Canis lupus familiaris: one gene and its partners. The protein of the gene in region 1 interacts with the protein of each later gene in a pairwise test. Links are inferred from orthologs where the notes say so. Each region holds a gene or a part of one and is shown in the gene's direction. Other genes may lie near its edges. The genes, in order: SIPA1L2, DDX6 and AP3M1.

What was found.
Region 2: the proteins of SIPA1L2 (region 1) and DDX6 interact in binary tests that used the Homo sapiens proteins (3 or more experiments, as listed by UniProt). The two-hybrid records come from large-scale screens. The link is inferred for Canis lupus familiaris from reciprocal best matches to the Homo sapiens genes SIPA1L2 and DDX6.
Region 3: the proteins of SIPA1L2 (region 1) and AP3M1 interact in binary tests that used the Homo sapiens proteins (3 or more experiments, as listed by UniProt). The two-hybrid records come from large-scale screens. The link is inferred for Canis lupus familiaris from reciprocal best matches to the Homo sapiens genes SIPA1L2 and AP3M1.

The regions. Positions count from the first base shown.
Region 1 is NC_049225.1:7,609,163-7,616,643, forward strand, and holds the end of SIPA1L2 (signal-induced proliferation-associated 1-like protein 2), read left to right. Parts: intron 1-137; coding exon 138-261; intron 262-844; exon of another isoform or gene 845-1,207; coding exon 1,208-1,289; intron 1,290-2,372; exon of another isoform or gene 2,373-2,900; intron 2,901-4,492; coding exon 4,493-4,639; 3' UTR 4,640-5,818; downstream 5,819-7,481.
Region 2 is NC_049226.1:15,052,558-15,060,038, forward strand, and holds part of DDX6 (probable ATP-dependent RNA helicase DDX6), read left to right. Parts: intron 1-604; coding exon 605-668; intron 669-3,410; coding exon 3,411-3,512; intron 3,513-3,996; coding exon 3,997-4,172; 3' UTR 4,173-4,179; intron 4,180-5,586; 3' UTR 5,587-7,481.
Region 3 is NC_049225.1:25,254,080-25,261,560, reverse strand, and holds part of AP3M1 (AP-3 complex subunit mu-1), read left to right. Parts: intron 1-568; coding exon 569-706; intron 707-1,844; coding exon 1,845-1,930; intron 1,931-2,953; coding exon 2,954-3,087; intron 3,088-3,931; coding exon 3,932-4,139; intron 4,140-5,083; coding exon 5,084-5,228; intron 5,229-5,690; coding exon 5,691-5,791; 3' UTR 5,792-7,481. UniProt on the Homo sapiens protein: Part of the AP-3 complex, an adaptor-related complex which is not clathrin-associated. The complex is associated with the Golgi region as well as more peripheral structures.

The DNA.
Region 1 (7,481 bases):
GGGCAGTAACTGATTGGGAGGTGGGGGCGGCGTGGGGTGGGGGTGAGGGTTAGTGACTAAATTCGCTTGCACAAACGTCACCTTGCAGTGCAGCCAGTACTCAACTGCCTTGGCGTGTGTGTGTCTCCCCTCCTCAGACCAGAGAGTGGCATCCTTCTGTACCCTGACGGATATGCAGCACGGGCAGGACCTGGAAGGCGCGCAGGAGCCGCCTCTATGTGTAGACCCAGGCAGTGGCAAAGATTTCATGGACACAGCTGGGTATGTGAGCCCCTGGGGAGCCTCCCCCCACCCCCCGCATCTCCCCAGGCCCCTGGGTAACGGGTTCAGCGAAGCCCTGGGCCACGAGGAGATCACATCCAGCCTGCATCCCCTGGACCTTTAGGATCCAGACCCGGGACTGAGTGAGGCTGACCTTCCCCCTACCCTGCCGGGGTGGGCAATCCTTGCCTGCTAAGACATGTCACCTGGGGCTCAGGGTGACCAGGATCTCTGACAGAGAGAGGGAGGGTGTGGACCAGGCTTGATGTCTGCCCATAATTGCTGCCACAGCCCTGGGATGGACAGGGACCTTGGTGATCAGTCTCCTGCTGCCAGGCTGCAGGTGCGGACCTGCCGAGGACACAGCTCCCCCCAGAACCCCAGCCCATGACCCAGCCTCACTTGAATGAACCATCCCATTCCCCTGTATTTTTTGACATTATCCCCACAGAGTATATGTTCTTTACCTGATTCCAATTTTTATATGGACTTGTGTTACTATTAACTTGCTCATTCATCTTGGTAATAAGCTTCATGATATTTTCTTGACTGAGAAAAACAAATTGGTGAAATCGATTATGTATTTGGTTCCCAGGACTTTATTGGTCTTCCGAGTCTCAGTTGGATAAACTGATTTAGATAATCTATCTTCTGAGTTGTTGTTGGTTTGGTTTTTTTGTTTGTTTGTTTGTTTTTGTTTCTAACCAGCATCTATGGTTGTAGAGATTCTGAATCCCTTTTTAAATCAACAGAGACTCAGAAGGGATTTTCCACCAAAGCAGCAATATGTTCCCTTTCCAAGTCTGACATGATATTATTTATTCCCTCGCTGGGCACTAAGCACATGAAATAATTCTCTGAGTGCAAACTTTCCCAGCAAGAGTACTGAGTGCTGCGTCTTCACTCCAGTGGCCTTGAGTCTTTCTGACTACCCCTTCTTCCCTAGGGAGCGGTCTCCATCCACACTGACCGGGAAGGTCAATCAACTGGAGTTGATTCTTCGACAACTGCAGACTGACCTTCGGAAGGTAAAGAGATCCATTGCAATCCATAATCAGAGCTCTATCTGGCACAATCCACCCCTTCCAACTGGTAGAAATAAAAACGAAAATACTCAGGAAAGATGAGTGCCCTTGTCAAAGCCAATGATTAATAGAAACAGACTCATAAGGTCTAATTCTGCGTTCTGGCCTCCAGCTCATTATTTTTCACTGTTAGGGGGGCCCAAGGATCGCTGGAAATAGGACTCAGTGAGGGTGAGCCCTCTGGACGGCCAGTCCTCAGAGCGAGGCAGAAACACGCAGGCTAGTATTTTTTGGTTCAGTGAGTGACCAGTTGTATCAACTGTTTATGAACTGACCTGAGGGGAGTTAGTTACTGCCAGAAAGCCTGTTCTTCCCGAGCTATTACATTCCCCCTGAGTCAGCTACGTGACCCTCACAACATCTGCCCTCCATGTCCACATGTGTATGGTCGGTCCTCCAAAGAAATTAGCTAATTCCTCACACATTTGCTGTGCCCTTGTGCTATCACCAGCACTGTGCTGGGTCACCACTGTGCTGTCCATGGGAATGGAAGGGAAGGTGACAGTGGGAGGGTGTTGGGGAGATGTCACAGGAAGGATTTTGTTACCGTTTTGTTTATGGAAGAAGGGAGAAATCACAGCCGGTATCAGTGCTGGTAGAGGGATCCATTTAGGAAGGAAGTAATGGCAGGAATAGGGGGAGCCAGAGGGTCATGCCCTGACCTAGGGCACAAAAGGACTGGCCTTGATTCAGAGTGGGGACAGTTTATACATAGTACCAGAGCAGAGCAGGGTGCGGTGGTGTGGGTGTGTGCATACATATGTTCACATACACATTGAGATAAATTGACAGAGTTCCCCTCTGAAGGTTTCTTTTTTTCCAGTCATGAGGTGAGAGTGAGAGGTGATAGGAAGGAGTAGGAGGGGTTTGAGGTCAGAGGGTAGGTGTAGAGTAGTGAGTAAATTTACTGGGTGTATTTGATAGGATTGCCAAGCAAGGCTGAAGGTCCATTTGAATTTGCAGCCTCAATTAAAGCCATCATCTGTTGGCAAAGTTAGCTGTTTCTCTCCAGCTCAGATGACTTACGTGTCCTGGTTTGCCTGGGACGGAGAGACTCCAGGATACAGAACCTCCAGAGCTAGAACCAGAAATGTCCCAAGCAAACTGGGACATCACCCTGCCCCCAGCTGTGGGCACAGGATAATTGGAAAGTTGAATGTAATCAGTGTTAAGAGTTTAGACAGGAAATCAAGACGAGAAAGAGAGAGAGAGAGAAAGCCCCTGGGGTATCTATAGGATGGGATTAAACTGAGGATTCTAGGGTATAAGCTGGGTGAGGAGACATACTGTCCCTGCAGGGAACATAAAAGATAAGGTTAGACATTAGATAACTATTGGAGGTGTGGATACTGGAGAAATTATTCTGAAAGAACAAGAGGTGGTGAGTGGGACTTGAGAGGCTGAAGCATCCCAAAAGCTATGCAGTTTTATAGGTAATGGCAAGGTACAGGATGGCCGTGGGAGCAGGAGTTGGGGAGAGGTGGGTTTCCAGATCACAGAGAGGAAGTGGTGGAGAGAATGGATTGTGTGGAATGTCTGAGTGGCTTTGGAACCATCAACAAACAGGACAGGTGGTAGGGGAGAGAAGAGCAAACCACATTCTAGAATCTTCCATTAGTGATGGGAGGGACTGGAGACAGAGTGAGCAGGGGTGGCAGGTCACACTTCTCAGAGAAGCTGAAGTTTTAGGGAAATAACTCCCTGGGCACTGGGGGACAAGCTGTTTGCTGGACCACCAGGGCCCAAGTCTTCCAACTACAGGAACACACCCTCTCTCCCCTTCATGAGCAGCCAGGGAGTGGTGTTGTCAGGAGAGTAGGGATTCACTTAGAGGTGTGAGGATGAAGGGAATTTGGGGGAAGAGGTTGAGAGTTTCAAAGGTTTTCATGGACTGGTTCCACAGGTCACAAAGGAGCAGAGGAGTCTTGGAGACGCAGGCCACCAAGTGGCCTCAGGCACGTGGGATGCTCTGAACCATGCTGGGATGCAAATCCTGGGACAGGGACCCCCAAAACCACCAAGGAGAGTCCAGGCAGAAGGAAAGGAGTATTGAGCTTTGTCCTCATGTGATACTCATGCCTCCTCATGTGACTGGGGTCCCTTAGCAGTGACGCGGGCAGTATTGTGGGTGCCTGGGCAGAGGTCTGGAAATAGAAGCAAACCTCGAGGGAGGTGCCAGACATGCCAACAAAAGCCACAGCCCCTACAGTTCACCCCCCAAGAGTGCTGGGCACAGCACAGCGGGTGGTGTCTGTAGGATTTAGCAGTCAAGTTAGATCCCACTTTTAAAAAAAAACCAATTGTTGCAATCTGACAATGACCTCTTTGTCTGTTTGGAGCAAGACATGCCTTTCAGCACTTGGGAATTGAAACTCAGGGTTGTACCTCAGATGTGATTCTTCTGGAAATTCTTGATTATTTTCACATAGTGTTTAGTGGCAAACTCTGAAGGTCACAGGACACACACTGTAGCAGGAGAGCTTACAATGGAGTGAAAGGCCCAAGTACTTACTTTATTAGAAACACACCTCGGGGGGCACCTGAGTGGCTCAATGGTTGAGCATCTGCGTTTGGCTGGCTCAGGTCATGATCCTGGAGTCCTGGGATCAAGTCCCTCCTTGGGTTCCCCACAGGGAGCCTGCTTCTCCCTCTGCCTATGTCTCTGCCTCTCTCTGTGTGTCTCTCATAAGTGAATGAATAAAATCTTTAAAAGAGAGAGAGAGAAAAGAAAAGAAAGAAAAGAAAGAAAAAAAAAGAAAAAAGAAAAGAGAAAGAAACACACCTTGGACCAGCAGCAATGAGGGAGTTGGTGCAGAAAGTTCGTGCATTTGTTCAAGGTCTGTCTTTTGAGCTCCTCCTGTGATCTCTCTGATTTGGACAGAGGAAGAGGTAAACTGTGGCTAATAACCTGCCCCAAATAACAGCTAGGTTGATACCTGTCGCAGGCCAAGGAGAGTGAGAGGAAATAATACACCAGGGTTGTCCCCCTCGGCCCCTCCATCCTGGGCTGACACCATGTGCAGGCCAGCCACCTGGGAGGAGGTGACACCCCGTGTCCCCACAGAAGCGAGGGTGCTGGGTGTGCAGCTTGGGGACAGGGGACGTGCCGGCCCATGCGTGACCCTGTCTGTGTGCCCTCTTCCCAGGAGAAGCAGGACAAGGCGGTCCTGCAGGCCGAAGTGCAGCATCTGCGCCAAGACAACATGCGGCTGCAGGAGGAGTCCCAGACGGCCACCGCCCAGCTGCGGAAATTCACGGAGTGGTTCTTCAACACCATCGACAAAAAGTCTTAACCCGGCCCTAGCCCACCGGGGGTCGTGGGGGAGAGGCCCCGAGCGCCCCCCGCCGCCCCCCACCCCGGGAACCCGCAGATGCGCGGTTTCTCAGTGTGCTTGCAGCCAATCGTAGATGTTTTTGCTGTTCCACCCGTCTAGCACCATTCACCCCCGCAGGGGAGGGAGGCGACTCTTTCCCTGAAGCCACCTGGTGACAGCAGCGAGGACAGCGAGGCCGTGTGCACACGAATGTAACCCCTGGTGTCAAGATGAATGTAAACCCTGGCGTCGGTTTGGCCCTCCGTGTGGGGGACCCCACTAGAATGGTGCTCTGGCGCGGGCGTACCTCAAGAGGCAGGAGAGGAGGGGCTTCACCTCCTGTGGATCAGGTGACCTGGTAGCGATGTTAAAAGCAATTGACTAGTTTGGGCTTTAGTATTGTAAAATAAACCCGGAAGCAAATAATCAGACATATACTTTAATGTTAAAGGTGCTCTATTTTTTTGGATGTACAGTAGTTTTATTTCTCACAGCCACATGATCATAGCAATAAGAAAGAGGCATAGTAAATAGTTGGAGAAGCCGTGTCGGGAAAAATGAAAACAAAAAAAAGCACTGATGTCTTTACCGCTAGTTTGAATGCAGTTAATTTAGAGGCCTATTTATTTGCAGGAGCAAACGGTGCCTGAATATTAACAGTGTTCTGATTTAAAAAAAAAAAAAAAAAGCTACATATGCCTTGTCTATGGCTCAGTAAGCAGTCCCTTCAACTTAGTTCACTGTGTATAGTCAACGCTCTGCGGAGAGAGGCGCACGCCTGCTTGCCCTCCACCCTCCCGGCCGGCCGCGGCCAGCCAGCCGAACCCCGTGTACACAGACGCCAAATTTGTTTATCTTTGTACAGAAGCTTTGATGAAGTGTCTTGTATTTAACCCCCTTATTTAAGCTTATTTAACCCTAAATTGTTAATTTTATAAACTTTGGTTTGACCTGCACTACGATGAGGGAGGTGTAGGCAGCAGCCAGCTCCGGGAGGACGGGCTTGCCCGGGTCGGATTGAGAAGCAGGGCGGGAAACTCTAACAACTGGATGCTGCTAGCAACGAGTCCTTTGTATTGCTTTACCATTTTTAACTGTTCTATTTGAGATGAACATACATTTTGCTTTTTTAATAAATGTTCAAAAGAGTCCACATCAGTCACGGTGTTGTCAGGTGAATGTAGATTTTTAGCATCTGTGTGTCAATAATTTGAGTGTATGTGAATTTGTTTTGGGCCGTTTGGCATCGTAATCTGTACTGAATACTGCTTCGCCGCCTTATTATTGAATCCCCAACTCATTCGAAGTAAAGAGTAACTACTATTAATAGCTGCCGTGGTCCACACACTCTTCTCTGCACGTTCCATTGGCGGGATTCCCATGTTGCAGCTCAGGAAACTGAGGCTCAAGTGAAATGATTTACCCCAGCCAGGAATTGGGCATCGCTTACAAGAAAATACATGAGGTAAAGTGGTGGGAATTTGAAAAATAGTTGAGAAGAGGTAAACTATGAATTTGAATCAAATGTAGGATGAAGAAGATGCAGAAAGTGGGCCAAAGTGGGAGAGGAGCCATGTAAGGAGCAAATTTCTCAACCTTCTGAGAATAGAAATCATATGAAGAATTTGGAGGAAGGAAAGTGATTTCTAGAACTTACCCTAAAAGAGATGGGTTTTCATGGGCTTCACCTGAGAGTGTACTAAAAATATCCTTAACATTCCTATACCCAATGTAGGCATAGGCTTCCTAAGGCTGTTTCTTGAAGCCTCCCTGTGAACAATACAGCTGTGCTTCCAGAATGCATCCAGTCAGTGTATGTGGTTTTTCAGGGATTCAGGATGTTAATATGGGCCACAGAGATCTTTCCTGCCCCCTTCCTTTCCTGTCACTGTGTGCCAGGCACTGTGCCAGGAGCTGAAGAGCCAACCAACACAGGTCAAGACCCAGTAGGGCCTGTCTGCATGGGGCATGCAGTCTACATGGGGGTACAGATTATTTCAAAAGTGAGAGACGGAAATAAGGAATGACTGGGATGGCTTCCTTAAATAATCATTGTAACAGCTGACATTGTTTGGGTGGGTATGTTGTGCCAGGCACCATTCTAGCCTTTGATGTCTACACAGCAGCCTGTGGGATAATTATTACACGCAGTTCCTCTATACAGATCAAGAAATGAGCAGTAGTGTGCTCAGGGGAGACCCCCGTGGGTGGGAGACTTTAAAGGTGGGAAGAAAGCCAGCCATGAGAAGCTGGGGGGACAATATCCCAGATAGAGGGGACACAGAGTTCAAGGGCCCTGAGGCTATAGAAAGGGTGCACAGAACATACATAGTAATGAGGAAAGTGATAGGGACAAGTCAGAAAGATAGGTGAAGCCAGATCAGTAAAGAATGATAGGCCATGGCAGAGTCTGGATTTAGTCCTAAGTCAAAAGGAGGCTGATGTAGCAGGAAAGGAGCAAAATATATATAAAAAATAAAAGACTATCCGGACCTGTGAAGGAGAGTGGATCACCTAGGACAGGCACCTGCAAACTTCTGTGTGGGCCATTGTAGTAAATACTTTAGGGCTTGGGTATCATGTTTTGTCTCCGCTGCATATTTTTAAATTCTGATTACCCCTGAAAGCTGAAAGATCACTCCACTCTTAGCATTCAAGCCACCCACCAGCATAGCTGACCAAACCCTGGGATAAGAGAAAGTAGAAAAGAGAGACCAAGGCCACCGTCAGGTGGTTCAGTTGGTTGAGTATCTGACTCTTGGTGTCAGCTCTGGTAATGATCTTGGAGTCGTAAGATTGAGCCCCGTATCAGGCTCCCCAC
Region 2 (7,481 bases), on another chromosome or scaffold:
CTGCCTTTGGCTCAGGACATGATCCCAGGGTCCGGGATCAAGTCCCGAATCAGATTACCTGAGGGGAGCCTGCTTCTCCTCTGCCCGTCTCCTCTGCCTGTATCTCTGTCTGTCTGTCTCTCTTTCTGCATCTCTCATGAATAGATAAAATCTTTTTTTAAAAAATCTTAAGAAAAAAAAAACAGCTAAGATAAATGGTGCATAAAGATACGAGTAGATGTTTGGGAGTTTTTTTTAAAGATTTTATTTATTTGAGGGTGCACACAAGCACAGGGGGGGAGGACAAAGCAGGGTCTCTGCTGAGCAGGAAGCCCAACATGGGACTCAATCTCTGGTATCGTGACCTGAGCTGAAGGCAGAGACTTAACCAACTGAGCCACCTGGGCACCCCTGTAGATGTGTTTTAGTTGCTTATTAATACCTGTGGGAAACTAATTGATGATTAACTTTTTTCTTTTGTTTTTAACTTATAGCTGTTGAATTTATCTCTCATCTGTGTATATTTTGGGTATATAAGACTGTTTGGGTAGGAGAAATCAGTGATGGGAAACTTAGAGCTGTGCTGTATGAGTTTTAAAAAGCAAATGCATTACTTTGTTCCTAGGAACATCGAAATCGTGTATTTCATGATTTCCGAAATGGCTTATGCCGCAATCTTGTTTGCACTGGTAAGATTTTCCTTTATCCGTTGTTTTTCTTCTGGGTCTGCTCTGATTTCTCTGTCCATATCTCCCAAAAGAGTCTATGACAAGAGTTCAGCTCACCCTAATGCCATTTCTAGAATTTCTGAAATTGAGAATAAGCTATAGTTAATTCCTGAAATTAGTTTTCAAATCTGAAACTGTGGAATACTTGTTCTGGCACTCATACCTCATCTCTATCTTTTAAACTAGTTTTGGGACTTGTGTGTTTTCTGAATTTTAGCATACAAGAATGAGTTAATATGTACTGTATGCAAAATAAGTTACATTTAGAAATTTTGGTGTATTTCAGTACACAAAGAAAAACAAACTGGGGAGGCAGGTGGACAATCAGATGAGACAAAAAGCAAATGGATTGAGTATCCTCCCATCTCTACACTGGAAGTATAATCTTAGTATTGGTATGAGAATAATCATATAAATTAGGCTTCTAGGTAAAAAGAGCCTAGAATATTTTTTATTATTATTATTTTAGTTTAGGTATACATAGAAATATAAGAATTATAAGAACATTCGATGAATTTTTGCACATATACACACCCATATAACTAGCACCCAGATCAAAATTTTAGAATATTATACAATTCAGATTTTTAAAATACTGCTATAGAAATAAACTCCAGATTTATACTAGCAGAATATTGAATTTGCTGACTTATAGAAGGACTGTTGGATATCCTGGGTGTTTCCAGTTTATCTTGTTTCTCTGCCTTGTATCTAAAAGGACAGTACAGCTATGAATTATTACATTTATGTTTACTTTATCAGCACTTCTAACTTTTGTATTTGAAGTACTCAAATGTAAAATATCTGATTTGGTGGAAAAGATACTAGGCTCCTAGAATTTTAAGATTGGAGTTCAAGTTCTACCCTTTTTAACCTGTAATTATATGACCTTGGACAAGTCCTACTTTTTCTTTGATGTCTTTTTTTTAATCTGTAAAATGAGAATGCCTTAAACTGAATTCTGCCCAAATATCTGTTATTTATTCAAAAATAGTTTTTGATTTCAGCATACATTTATTTACTCTTTGCCAGGTATTTAGTTAGCTTGGTACTGAAAAACTACGTTACTCCTCAGCTTTTTGTATATTTTACCACAATTTAAAAATTTTAAATACATGCATACAGTTTGCAGTTGAAGATCTATAATCTAGAAGATGAACTAGTTCATTGGTGAAAGGTTAAGTAAATTCAGAATATGTAAACTTAGTTTGTCATTAAATAATACTGAATAACGTGTATAAAGTGTATAAATAAATACATGGAAAGTATCACTTTTTATTTCAAGGAGCAGTGGTTTAATCAGATTTAAAAGATAACATTAAGAGTCTAAGGCAGGCCCTGCAACCTTTAAAGTGCCAGATATAGTAGATATTTTAGACTTTGTGTACCATATGGTCTCTTACAAGTTATTCAGCTCTGCCATTGTAGCTCAAAAGCACCCTTAAACAGTACATGAACATATGGGTATGGTCCTGTGACAGTAAAACTTAATTTATAGAAACAGTCTTTGGGCTGGATCTACAAGGGAGTAAAAGTAATTTGCAAATGTGAGGTATGTGTAGTAAGTAATCCTAAATTTTCTTAGGAAAGGAAATTAGCTATAGCGATCTGAAAAGAGATGGAATTTTAACTGGCTGTATAAACTAGATAACTTTTAGACTTGCAGAAGGAGTTGTAAGTTAGGGATTGGCATCAAACCTGATCCATAGAAGGCTTCAAGAAAATACGTTTAAGAAAGAATAAATAGATGAATTTCGTGGAGATGAAGGTTTGAGAAGACTTGTCAGAGAACTGTGTTAGGGCCAAAGTATAGAGTGCAGGACCTTCTATGTCAATTTTAATTTTATCTGGAGGCAATTTAAAAGAATGAGTTATAAGTTGAAAACAGTATTTTAGAAATACTGGTCACTGTCCTGGATTATTTTGGAGGGTAGGAGCTGATAGAAGCGCTGGAATTTGTCTATCGTAATTGTCTTTTCTTGTAGTTTTCAAAGCCTAAATCAGCACAGTAATTGTTGGACTAGAGAAGTAAAGAGGTGGTCTTGTGCTTGCCTCAGACTTGTAAATCACCTAGTAGAATGAAATGAATTAAAAAAGTATAAATAATTACTACAAGTGGATTATCTTGTTTTTGATGTATTCTTGGTTATACAGCAGTTTTTAATCTATTTGAATCTTGGATTACATACTAAAAAGTATATGAAAATTACTCCTGAGACATATAGGAGTTTCTAGTTTACCAGTCATTCTGACCTCTTCTTTCTCTTGTAGTTACCTTATAGTATTTTTTAAAACTTTATGGGACTAGGAAAGGTAATTTGCTGGGTAAAAGTTAGTACAATAATGAGCATAAATGTAATGCTAGTTTGCAAGTACATTTGAATTGCTGAATGAAGTGACTAAAACTTAAGTTGCACTAGAAATACATGTTAAGGGATCCCTGGGTGGCGCAGCGGTTTGGCGCCTGCCTTTGGCCCGGGGTGCGATCCTGGAGACCTGGGATCGAATCCCACGTCGGGCTCCTTGCATGGAGCCTGCTTCTCCCTCTGCCTGTGTCTCTGCCTCTCTGTCTCTCTGTGTGTGACTATCATGAATAAATAAATAAAATCTTTAAAAAAAAAAAAAAGAAATGCATGTTAAGGTGTGTACAAAGACATGCCTAAATTGAAAGATGTGATGGAGATTCTTTCTTTTTCTTTTAAGATTTGTTTACCCGAGGTATTGATATACAAGCTGTGAATGTGGTAATAAACTTTGACTTCCCAAAGCTGGCAGAGACCTATCTCCATCGTATTGGAAGATCAGGTAAGGAAAAGGAAGATGTTCTTCACAGGAGTGTTTTGAGAAGTATAATCACTAAATTCTGTTCTTTTGTGAAGTAGAGTGTAGTAACAATGAGAACAGTGAATTAAAATTTACTTAGTTTTTTTATTTCTAATTTTTCTAGAGCATTTAAGAAAAGTTAAAATATTTTGACTGTATGCTTAAATTGATACAAAATTCACAAATGAGATCCTCACTTTTCTTATTAGGTAGTGCAGTCTATAACTACTATTTAGTATCTGTATTTTGGCAACTTTTGACACAAATGAGCCTCTTTTATCATTTGAAAAAGGCCTATAAATAGGGTACTGCTTTGGGCTGTGAAATCTGAAGGCATACACTGAGAATGGGACTGAACAAAACTGTTAATAATCTGGTATGCTTTTGCCACTGAGAGATTTGCACATACATATCGATTCTAATATTTAACTCCTTTTTAAAAAATCGATTAATGTTTTTTCATTAGGTCGCTTTGGTCATCTTGGCTTAGCCATCAACTTGATCACATATGATGATCGCTTCAACCTGAAAAGTATTGAGGAGCAGCTGGGAACAGAAATTAAACCGATCCCAAGCAACATTGACAAGAGCCTGTATGTGGCAGAATACCACAGCGAGCCCGTGGAGGATGAGAAGCCCTAACAAGCATGTGCGTACCCTGCATAGCGCTAGGGAGCATAGTGGTGAAAGAAAGGAAAGAAAGCAAGATCCTCCTTCCTGGAGGAAATTTGCTGTTACACCACACGTACTAGCAGAGACAGCGTAGAACCTGTTGGCATGAATGATGGTAAACCGGGTGTGCTTGGGGGAAGTTGTTGTCTCCTGAGAGAATCCATGGATACTGTTCTTGAATGCAGTTTTCCTGTATGATGTGATCCACGAGCAGTACTTAAGACAAATCCAGACTTCAAAATAAAGCAAAGTAGAATCTTTTTCTCAGCAACTTGAAGATGAAACTAATTTTTTTTGGTCTTTTATCACTTAGTCATTCTTCTTTTGTTAGTATCACTCTTAATTTCTACTGGACGTTGTAGTAAATCAAGATAATTACCTGAAGTACCTCGTTGCCAAATGTGTAATCAGGTTGTGAGGATAATTGTCTTTTTTTAAATACTCACTCTGGTTTCCTGTACCACCCTCTCTTTTCATTGGTGGACTATTGGGCTTTGCTAGCAGTGCTCAAAAGAAGACCCAGCATCAAGGAATTCAGGCTGTTTTGCAGTTTTTTCCAAGGGAAGTCTTTTATTTGAGAGGTGGTAATTTTTACATTACCAATGAGTATTTTTACCTGTTTTTTTTTTGTGGTTTTTTTTTTTTTTTTTTTAAGATTTATTTGAGACAGCACAAGCAGGGTGGGGGAGGGACAAGCAGACTCCCTGCAGAGCAGCATCCGCCACTCCCCCACCCTCGCCCCCCACCACCTCCCACCCCTGTGACCTGAGCCAACCAATGTGATGCTTAATCATCGTGGCGCCCCATATGCCTGTTACTCTAAGTTTCTGAATTACTCTTCACTTTAGTTTTCTTTCTTTCTTTCTTCTTCCCCCCGCCCCCTTAAATGTCAAACAAAATCCTCAGGCTAATGTAAAAGTAGCCTATGTTTGCTGGTATCCTGGGAAGCTATCAAATTTGTGGATGTTTAAAAAAAAAAATAGTTTCTTTCTTTCTTTTTTTTTTTAAAGATTTTATTTATTAATCATGAGAGACAGAGAGAGAGAGGCAGAGACACAGGCAGAGAGAGAAGCAGGCTCCGTGCAGGGAGCCCAACTGGGACTGGGACCTCGGATGAAGGCAGTGCTAAACTGCTGAGCCACCCGGGCTGCCCAGTTTCTCTTGATTTAACTGTTTTGGATATCAGAATTTAGAGGCTCTTGCTCTATCTCTGGGATTCCTAGCAGAAATGCCTTAATCCTAAGTGGATTGATTCTACAGCAGGCAAAGGCTCAGTAGAAGCCACTCCACAGAGCATTTGAGATGGAGATTGTGAAAACCTAGGTATCTTGGTTCATATTGTCTTCACAAAAGTTAATTTTAGATTTCTTCCTTCTTCCTTTAGGCTTTCACAAAATACAGAAGGCTCGTTTGGATCTGTGACACATCGTTTGGGGGGGATGCTCTTCTCTTTGTGGGTTTTTCATCTTCTTTTATTTTGGAACTATGAAGACTTAAAAGAGCTCAGACATTTTTTTCTTTTTTTTAACTGGTGAAGAGAAAAAGCTGAAAAGAAGGAATTTACCTTTTTTGTTCCACTTGTTTGCACTGTGTGCTGACTGAACATTAGTTGCACTAACTGCTGGTTTTTAAAAAATGTTTTCTGGGGAAGGGGGACAAGGAAGGAGGAGAAAGAAGAGAAGGGGAGAAACCCTGAAAAGAGAAGAATCTTGATGAACACACAAGCTTGTCTACAATTTCAAAATTCTCCAACAGCTGACTCTTGAGTGCATTTCAACTTCTCCCTAATTACTCATCCGTTTTTTAAGCCTGAAGAGCTTATTACTTATTTGTGCGAAGTGCCTTATGCTATGAGACCATTCAGAATATCATCTTTTAGACACAGCCCAAGAAATCAACAATAGTAGTTCTTTCCTTTTTTTATTTTTTTTTCCTTCCTATCTTTTTAAAATTTTTGTCTTTTTATTTTGATTTCAAGTTGGAGTCTCTCTCTTCCCTTTTTACCTGATACTCAAGCCCAGGGCTGGAAGATGACACGTATTAGTAATGTTAAACACCATTCTCTTTTTCTTTATGTGGAGGAGTTGATATGCAACTGCAGTTCATCCGCACTGTAAATACATGTATTTAAAAAAAAAAAAAACAATCCCAAGTAAAAATTTCTTCTGGGCTGAGTAGATTACAACATCATCGCTCCCAAAGGAAAGAGCAGTCTATCATTGCAGGAGCCATATGACAAGCCTTTGTGCTCTATAGCAGAACACTAAAGACTGGTTTACATACGCTTCCATTAGCAGTTATGGCACTTGATGTGTAGACATGTCAGAGCCTTGACCCTCTTTCCTCTGTGGCAAAGCGTGTCCCATAGAAAATTGGGTGTGTATACTTGTATAAACTTTGTAAATAAGTTTTTTTCTGGGTTCATATATATATATACATATATATATATTTTTTTTTTGGATGAAGGTTGCTGGGATTAAGGGGATTAGAATGATTATGGGAGCAGCTAAAGATGAGAGGGGCTCAGTTTTCCGCAACACTAAATTCTAAAAAGTACTTTGGCCTCTTTAGTAGAGAGAGCAGACCTCTGTGGTGACCCTGTGTTGGAAGAGGGACCTGGAAGTCTGGGATTTATTGTTTGCTGCCACACTGTATCATCTAATACCTTTGGAGAACACCTGCCAGAGAGAGCAAAGAAACTTCAGAAACCTATAACTCAAGATGTTATTTTTGAGAAGCTCTCTCTGATTTTGCTTCTTCCTCCCCTTTTAAAGAAAGTTTGAGGAACTTTTCAAGCTCAGCAAAAGGGGACAAAGATTAATCTCCCTTGCAGTGTGGAAATTCAGTTGCGTGGCAGTGTCTGAGCAGTATATGTACAAAGCATGGATTTTGCATTTCAGAATATTAGCCAGTACCAGCTTTGGTAATGTTAGCAGTTCTGGAGCTTACTTTCTGTGGATCACTTCCTGTACTGTGTTAAGTGTGTTGCCCTCTGCCCACCTTGATACATAAACTTGCAGGAATGGGCAACTCCTGAGAGCTGTTAACTTTCATGCTAAAGAAAGCTGCTTGCCATCCTCTTGCTTTGTGACAAGAATTATCTGTCATTTTGCATTGTAAATTGCTGGCAAATGCTTTACAGTCAATAGTGTTGCTTTAAATTGTGCCCCTCCCAACATGCTTGATGTTTGGCCTGATCTCCAGGCAAAAGGAGTGAGATGAATCAAAACCAGTGAACTTTTTTTTTTTAAATGTTTTTAATTCCCTTTTAACCCAGTG
Region 3 (7,481 bases), about 18 Mb from region 1:
GAGGCCTGCTTGGCAGCATCTCATGTAGAATTTAAGCTGAATACCAAAGGGCCTACTTATCACTTATTCTCAGTGGAAACATTTTATCGGCAGAAGGTTCTACAACAACTAGCCTCTTTTCTTCATCACTGGCAGCAGGACGAGATTCTGTTGTTGAGCCACTAGAATTAGGTTAGGTTACTGTTAACACACAGGAAGCAAAAGATAGGTAAATGAATTTAACCTGGTTTGGCACATAGAGGACCACATGGCCTATTTCTGTCCCCTAGAAATTTGATCATGTCGGTATAGCAATTCCAGCAATTCTGGAAACCATCCACAACTTCGATGAAGAAAACGTAAACATTAAAGAAGCAACTAAAGCATTCTTTTTTTTTTTCCTGTTAATAGTTTTTCTTTCTTTTTTTGTTTTTAAAATAAACTATACACCAGTGTGGGGCTTGAACTCACGACCCCAAGGTCAAGAGTCGCACATTCTACCAACTGAGCCAGCCTATCACCCTTGTTAATAGCTTTCCTGATGACTATTTTATGCATTACCTTTGCTTTCTCCTTTTCCGGTTTCTAGGCAGTAGTAATGTTGGGGACACACTCCCCACTGGGCAGCTGTCCAACATCCCATGGCGGCGGGCAGGGGTAAAGTACACAAATAATGAAGCCTATTTTGATGTCGTTGAAGAAATAGATGCAATTATAGATAAATCAGGTAATTGTGTGCATGTGATCTTATTTGGGAAAAACAGTTGAGCTGACAAAATTGAAATCTCTTGGTAGTATGGTTTCAGCAGAAAGGCATTCACTTCCTGATAGCTTAAAATCTGTTTATTTTGCCCAGAGGCTACATATAATTTTCATAACCACTAGCTGAGATCTGCCAAACCTTTGTAAATCAGATCTCATGCTGCCTTACTTTAAGCCAGTTATTACCCTGTCTGCCTCTCCCTCTTGCCATTTATTCAACATTTATTGTATTATCTACCATGCACCATACTTTTGCTACCACTTTACATACAGTACTTCTGAAGACCCCAGACAAAACAGCTGTACTCTATTAGAACCATAAATTTTACTAAAAACATCTAGTCCAACCTTCACATTTTATACATAAGGAAACTGAGGCTCAAAAGGGTTTAGTAATCTGCTCAAGGTCACACAGCTAGTTGCTGTGTGAAAATGAGTTATTGTGAATTATAGCCAGTATTTTTTCTTCAATCAGTGCCCTTTTCATTATAAAAATTCTATCATACAGAATAATAGCTACATTATTACAGAATAATGGCTCCTATTCAAAGTTAACAGCTTAGTCCATTTCAATGAGAAATTTGCCTCATTTTTAAATTCCATTAAAAATATTTTAACTTCAAACACTTTTTTTTTCTAAAAGGGAAAGAGTTGATGGGGAGGGACAGAGGCGGAAGGGGAGAGAGAATCTTAAGCAGGCTCCATGCCCAACAGGAAGCCCAAGGTGGGGCTGCATCTCAGGACTTTAAGATCATGACCTGAGCAGAAATTAGGCGCTGGCTGCTTAACAGACCGAGCCACCTAGGCACCCCAAAAACATTTTAATTTCATATCCAGCAGTCTTACAAGGTTGACTATGTCAAGACAGAGGCAGGTTTGATATTCCGTAGAATTACCCCAGTCCTACCAGTTAGGTGTGGGCGTTTAGTGAAGAAACTGTCATAACTGGTGCAATGGATCCTCTGTCCCACTAACTTGTTAGTAGATGTGCAAGTTTCATTATGTCTGACACCGAGGTGATGTCTCCATTATTTCAGAGACAGTGATCGCTCTAGTCTTTACTAGACTCCAATTCCAGTGATGTTATCACTTCCTTTCTTCAGGATCTACAGTGTTTGCAGAAATTCAGGGGGTCATTGATGCTTGCATTAAGCTATCTGGAATGCCTGACCTTTCTCTTTCTTTCATGGTAAGTTTTGTTCTCCTGTCCTGTAGATCTTTGTATGCCTAATATATATGAAGTACTGAAAGAAATGATAAATACTGAGAGATGTTTGTATCTTAGATTGTAAGTATTATCTCAGAAATATTCTAAGATTTATTTACTTATTTAGAGAGAGCATGAGCAGGGGGAGGGGCAGAGAGAGAGAAAGAGAGAATCTTAAGCAGACTCCACGCTGAGCGGGGAGCCTGACATGGGGTTTGTTCTCCCAACCCTGAGATCATGACTTAAGCCAAAATCAAGAGCCTGCTGTTTAACTAAACCACCCAGGTACCCCTATCTCAGAAATATTCTTAGCACAGCTTCCCAAGACAGTGGCTTACATAATGAGCATGGCCTTTATGGAAAGGCTGAGGAGAAGTCTTCTCCTGGCTATGTTAGAAGTGGCTTAAATGGCTGGATGGCTTCTGCAAATCTGTAGTCTCACTGAATTATTATTTGCTTTACTGATAAGAAAGGGCATTGATCTTTTGCATCATTTTAGATTTGGCATGATACACTACTAAGAAAAGAGAACAAAGTTCTGTTGCTATCTCGTTTTGACCTTGAGTTCTTCCAACTTCATTTTTGTCATCTGTGAAATGGAAATGATAGTACGGCTCACATTTTCTACTTAATAGTAATTGAAATTCAACTAAAATAACATATGAAATATTTGCGGCCACCTGGGTGGCTCAGATGGTTAAGTAGCCGGCTCTTGATTTCAGCTCAGGGTTGTGAGGTTCGAGATCTGTGTCTGGCTCCACACTCAGTGGAGAATCTGCTTGAAGATTGTCTCTCCCTCTCCCTCTGCCCCCTCCCCTGCTTTACAAAATATATTTGAAATCTCAAAGCCTTGTGAAACTGTTAACTGTGTGTTATTGTGGTCATAGTAACAAACTCGTAATGTAACTTTTATCCTTAGGGAGTACATTAATTTCTCATAGTATCCTAGCAGACTTGCCCTATTCCGCACACTCTGTGAATACTGCCGTCTTGTTTTCCTGGCAGAACCCACGGCTTCTCGACGATGTCAGCTTCCACCCCTGCATCCGGTTCAAGCGCTGGGAATCTGAAAGAGTTTTGTCATTTATTCCTCCAGATGGAAATTTCCGACTCATATCGTATCGTGTCAGCTCACAAAAGTACGTTGATGCATCAACTAGAAATCTGCTATCATGTATCAGAGTGATGGGTAGTCCCCTTACCTTTTTCATTCTGACAGGTGGATACTTGAATTCATCACTGCTCTCTTTGGCCATGGCTCATTAGGAAACTCAGGAAGAACTGGTGAAATATGTATCTAAAATAATCAGTGTTCCTTGAATGTGAGAATATAAAGTACTAGTAAAACATATACCGGAGAACAAACACTTTGGACTGTGCACAACCTACACAAAACCTTGAACCCATGCCATAATTTTACTGTGGTCTGTAGACTTCATATCTGACAGAGGGAGACAGATACATCTCTAATTCTCTAGGCAATCGCCCAATTAACTGACTTCCGGTCACTCTTTCGGGTACTAAGATTAAATGAATGAATTGGCATTGTGGGTTGTAAATGGTTTGTCCCTTGAAAATATCAGAAGGCATTTGGGTAGCATCAGTAATACTCAAAAGCAGAGGAGTTATTTCTTGGCTCTTACCACATAGGGACAATTTCATTTAGTTTAATTTTAAATTCTCTTTTCTATGGGACCTTAATTAATTTCTTCAAACTAGGGCTATTTGTGCCACTTGTTTATCCTATCTTGAATCCTGTCTTGATTTGATACTTCTTGCTCAGAAATTGTGTAATTCCTAGTGTGGTGGTGCTCAGACTCTCTGGTGAGTACTAGTGAATGCTGACCCTCCAGGTCTGGGGATATATGGCCCTCGGTAGAGTCAAAGGAGTGGAATACTCTGGACTGAGGTTCTCAGGCTACCTCAGGAGCTGTCTCACACAATTAATTATGTTTGTGGTTGTATCTGTCTTTTTCTTTTCAGTCTAGTGGCAATACCGGTGTATGTGAAACATAGCATCAGCTTTAAGGAGAACAGTTCTTGCGGTAGATTTGATATTACAATTGGACCAAAGCAGAATATGGGGAAAACTATTGAAGGAATCACAGTAACAGTTCATATGCCCAAAGTTGTGCTGAATATGAACCTGACACCAACACAAGGCAGCTATACATTTGATCCAGTTACCAAGGTACAGCTAGCTCTAATCAAGCGTGAGCAAATGTTTCTGCAGTCTTTATTTTCTGATGGCAGGGAGGGCAGAAGGAAGGGTTAATGTCTTGGTTAAAACTAAAGTTCCTCACAAAACCTGAGAACAACCTGTACTCGGCCACTGGCTATGGAGGGAATCCCGCATCTGCTGCTGAGGAGATGAACAGAAACGTGAGACTCATTCTGTTCTCCTTCAGAGTGTGCCTTTCCTCATCCACTGATAATCTAGAGACATACTCACTAAGGAAGAAGACGTAGAAAGCTTTTTTAAAAAGAGAAAAGCATGATCTGGATATAAGAAGTTAGTATTGTAGTCTATTAATTGTTCGATTTTCTGTAGAAATTGATCATTAAGACCTTTCTTTTTCATTTACAAGCAATTCATACTCTTCCACAGGGAATGCTGGCTAGGATAGCTGCTTCCTCACCATACATAACCATACGTAAACGTGCCTCTAGCAAAGGGTTTGCAGAGAAACTGTAAAAAGATGGTTTTCTCTCAGATTCCTGCTTGGGTAAAAAGTGTGGTTCTTTTCAGCAGCAGAGTCATTGAGCTGCCTGCTAAGTGAAAAGGCATTTTTTAAAGTAAAAACCAGTCCTCAGAATTTGAAGAACTTCCCCAGAGGTTGACCACTGAGCCTCAGTTTCTTTGTAAAAAGAAGACAAAACCTACATCATAGGCCTTTTTGAGATGTATGAATAGTGCTAAGCACAGTGCTGTATCCAAAAGTGGATGCTCTACAAACGTTGGTTCTCTGCCCTCACCATTCAGAGTCACAGACCTGATTAGTGGTAAGACTCTGTGAAGATCCCAGGTCCCTTGTTTCCAAGATACTGTGCGTCATTCTGTACAGAAGTTTATAGTGTCTTTGAACATTTGTCTTTAGTAAATGGTTCAGATTGTATTTCTTATGCCTTTTTAAGGTACTAACATGGGATGTGGGAAAAATTACTCCACAAAAGCTCCCGAGTCTTAAAGGACTGGTAAATTTACAGTCTGGAGCACCCAAGCCAGAAGAGAATCCAAGTCTCAACATACAGTTCAAGATCCAGCAGCTTGCTATTTCTGGTAAGGATAAGTTTTGACTTATGTTTGCGGTTTAACTGAGTTTTGCTGGGGTCAACTATTTGGAGCTTAGAAGGGTACAAGCATTTCCTCTCTAGAAAGAACAATAGCTCCAGTTTGCCTGTCACACCGTGCTGTGGGGCCATAGTCCGAGGTACAGTGATTTGCAGAGCACTTTATTTCACACAGCTTTCTTCCTCTGCACCCTCTTCATCCAAGCACAAAGGGAAGAGTCATTCATACAGAAAGATTTATCCTTAAAAGACATTCTTTGCCCACTTGGGAATCTGAACTAAAACCATCCCCCCACAGTGCTATAATTTGTGAATAGTAGAAGGGACACTTGGTTAATGTCAGATTTACTCAGTAGTGTTCATTGCTAGACAAATAATTGTTGGTTGGTATGGCCAGGAAAATAATTTGTTCCTTTCCTTACCTTTTTTTTTTTTTTTTTTTTGGACACAGGCTTAAAAGTAAACCGCTTGGACATGTATGGGGAGAAATATAAGCCATTTAAAGGAGTCAAATATGTCACGAAAGCTGGAAAGTTCCAAGTGAGAACATGAGAAGAGGCCAAAATTCCTCAAGATCCGTTTGTTTTTCTAGTGTCATTATAGTTTATTACTGTTAGGTACCAAGTGGGTGGGAATACATATTAGTCAAAGCATTCCTATCATGCTACACACCGCTAATGAAGTTGCTTAGTAATCAATGTAGGGTTCTGAAGGAGCTTTCAGCTAAGGAAACTTTGAATGACTTAGCTTATTTTATATCTTTTCAGTTAGAAAGATTCTGGAGGTGACTGCTTCCATAGGGGGGCATCAGCTGGAGGCTGCACATAGTGACAATAAAGGCAAAAGGCTACAGTGATAACCTCTCCCCGAAAACAAGTGAACTGGTCTCAGCAGGAGCAGTCTTAATCTGTAATGTGATGTATCAAGTGCAGCCAAACATCACACCTAATTTTAGCCATCCCAAATCAGCATCTATCCCCACAGAGGAAGTTCCCCCCACCCCAAGAAGTTTACAAAAAACTGCCTCTTCAAGTGTTTGCCTTATTCAGCTTTTCACTTGTGCCATTAAGCAAGCACTGTAGCAAAAGCCACTTCCACATGGCCCTGGCAGGGAGCACCACTGCTCCGTGCTTCATTCTCACTGTACTTGGTATTGTATTTTTTATAAATAAGATTTTTATGTAAAGCTCAGATTTTGATTTACAGGGACCTTGCTGCAGTAAGTACCCATCTCAGTTTTGTGCCACTAGTTCAGCTGTTAGATAGCATAGTAAAAATCGTATCAAAGGGGCAAATGCTTTATTAAGGCAATAAAAGGGAACACTACTTCTGCTTTTAGGAAGTTATTGCAAGCACAAGCATTTGAGATTTGAAGCAAATTAAAGGGTAGAGGAGAAACTTAAGTGAACTTTGCCACCTTCATGTTTTAGAAAGCTTATCAACACCACTTAAACCATCTTAGCCTAAAGGCCTCAAGCCCTAGTTCAGCAAAAGAAAAAAAAAATGTGCCTGCTTCACTATGGTCACTTTTTTTTTAATCTTTTATCTTTTTTATTGTTGTTCTTAAGGTCTTGAATTTACCTGTATCCCTTGCCTTTAAGGGGAGCTCCTGTTTCATACCGTGTGCTTCCCAAGGCTACAGTAGTCAGTAGGTTCCTTCCTCAGACTGTTGTCATAATTGTCACTTGAGCGTCTCTGCTGTACTGACACAGTACATGATATTGAGGCAGTAACAAGATCCTCAGTGACACTGATGAAACCATATTGATCGTCTTGGCTGAGAAGTCAGTCTAGAGTTGTATCATTTCACTCAACCTCACTGGCTTTGAAGTCCTTGTCCAGTCACTTGGCCTCATTAGACCTGAAGGAGAGAGGAAGGCTGGAAGATACAAGTGCTTGTTTGTCATGGTTCCCACTGGTTCTTACTTATGCTGTTAGTTTTTTTCTTGTGACTCCCTTCTTTTCCTTCTTCTCGGCTTCTAACTCCTCCCATATCATAAGAACGGCCCTTAAATTCATCCCACTCTGCTGTTAAGGGCTAGTGGTCGAGGCTACCAGAGAGAGCCCAGCAGACAGCAGCGTTCTTACCTCTGCCTCCATAGGGTACCCAACCTGCCGTTCACCTACTAGGAAATGGCACTTTTTGCAAAATTTGAAATTTCTTGGGTAACCAATATTAGCTTGGCAGCTAAAATCAAGATGTTGCCAAATACTTATTGTCTTTGCCTAACGTTGGTTACAC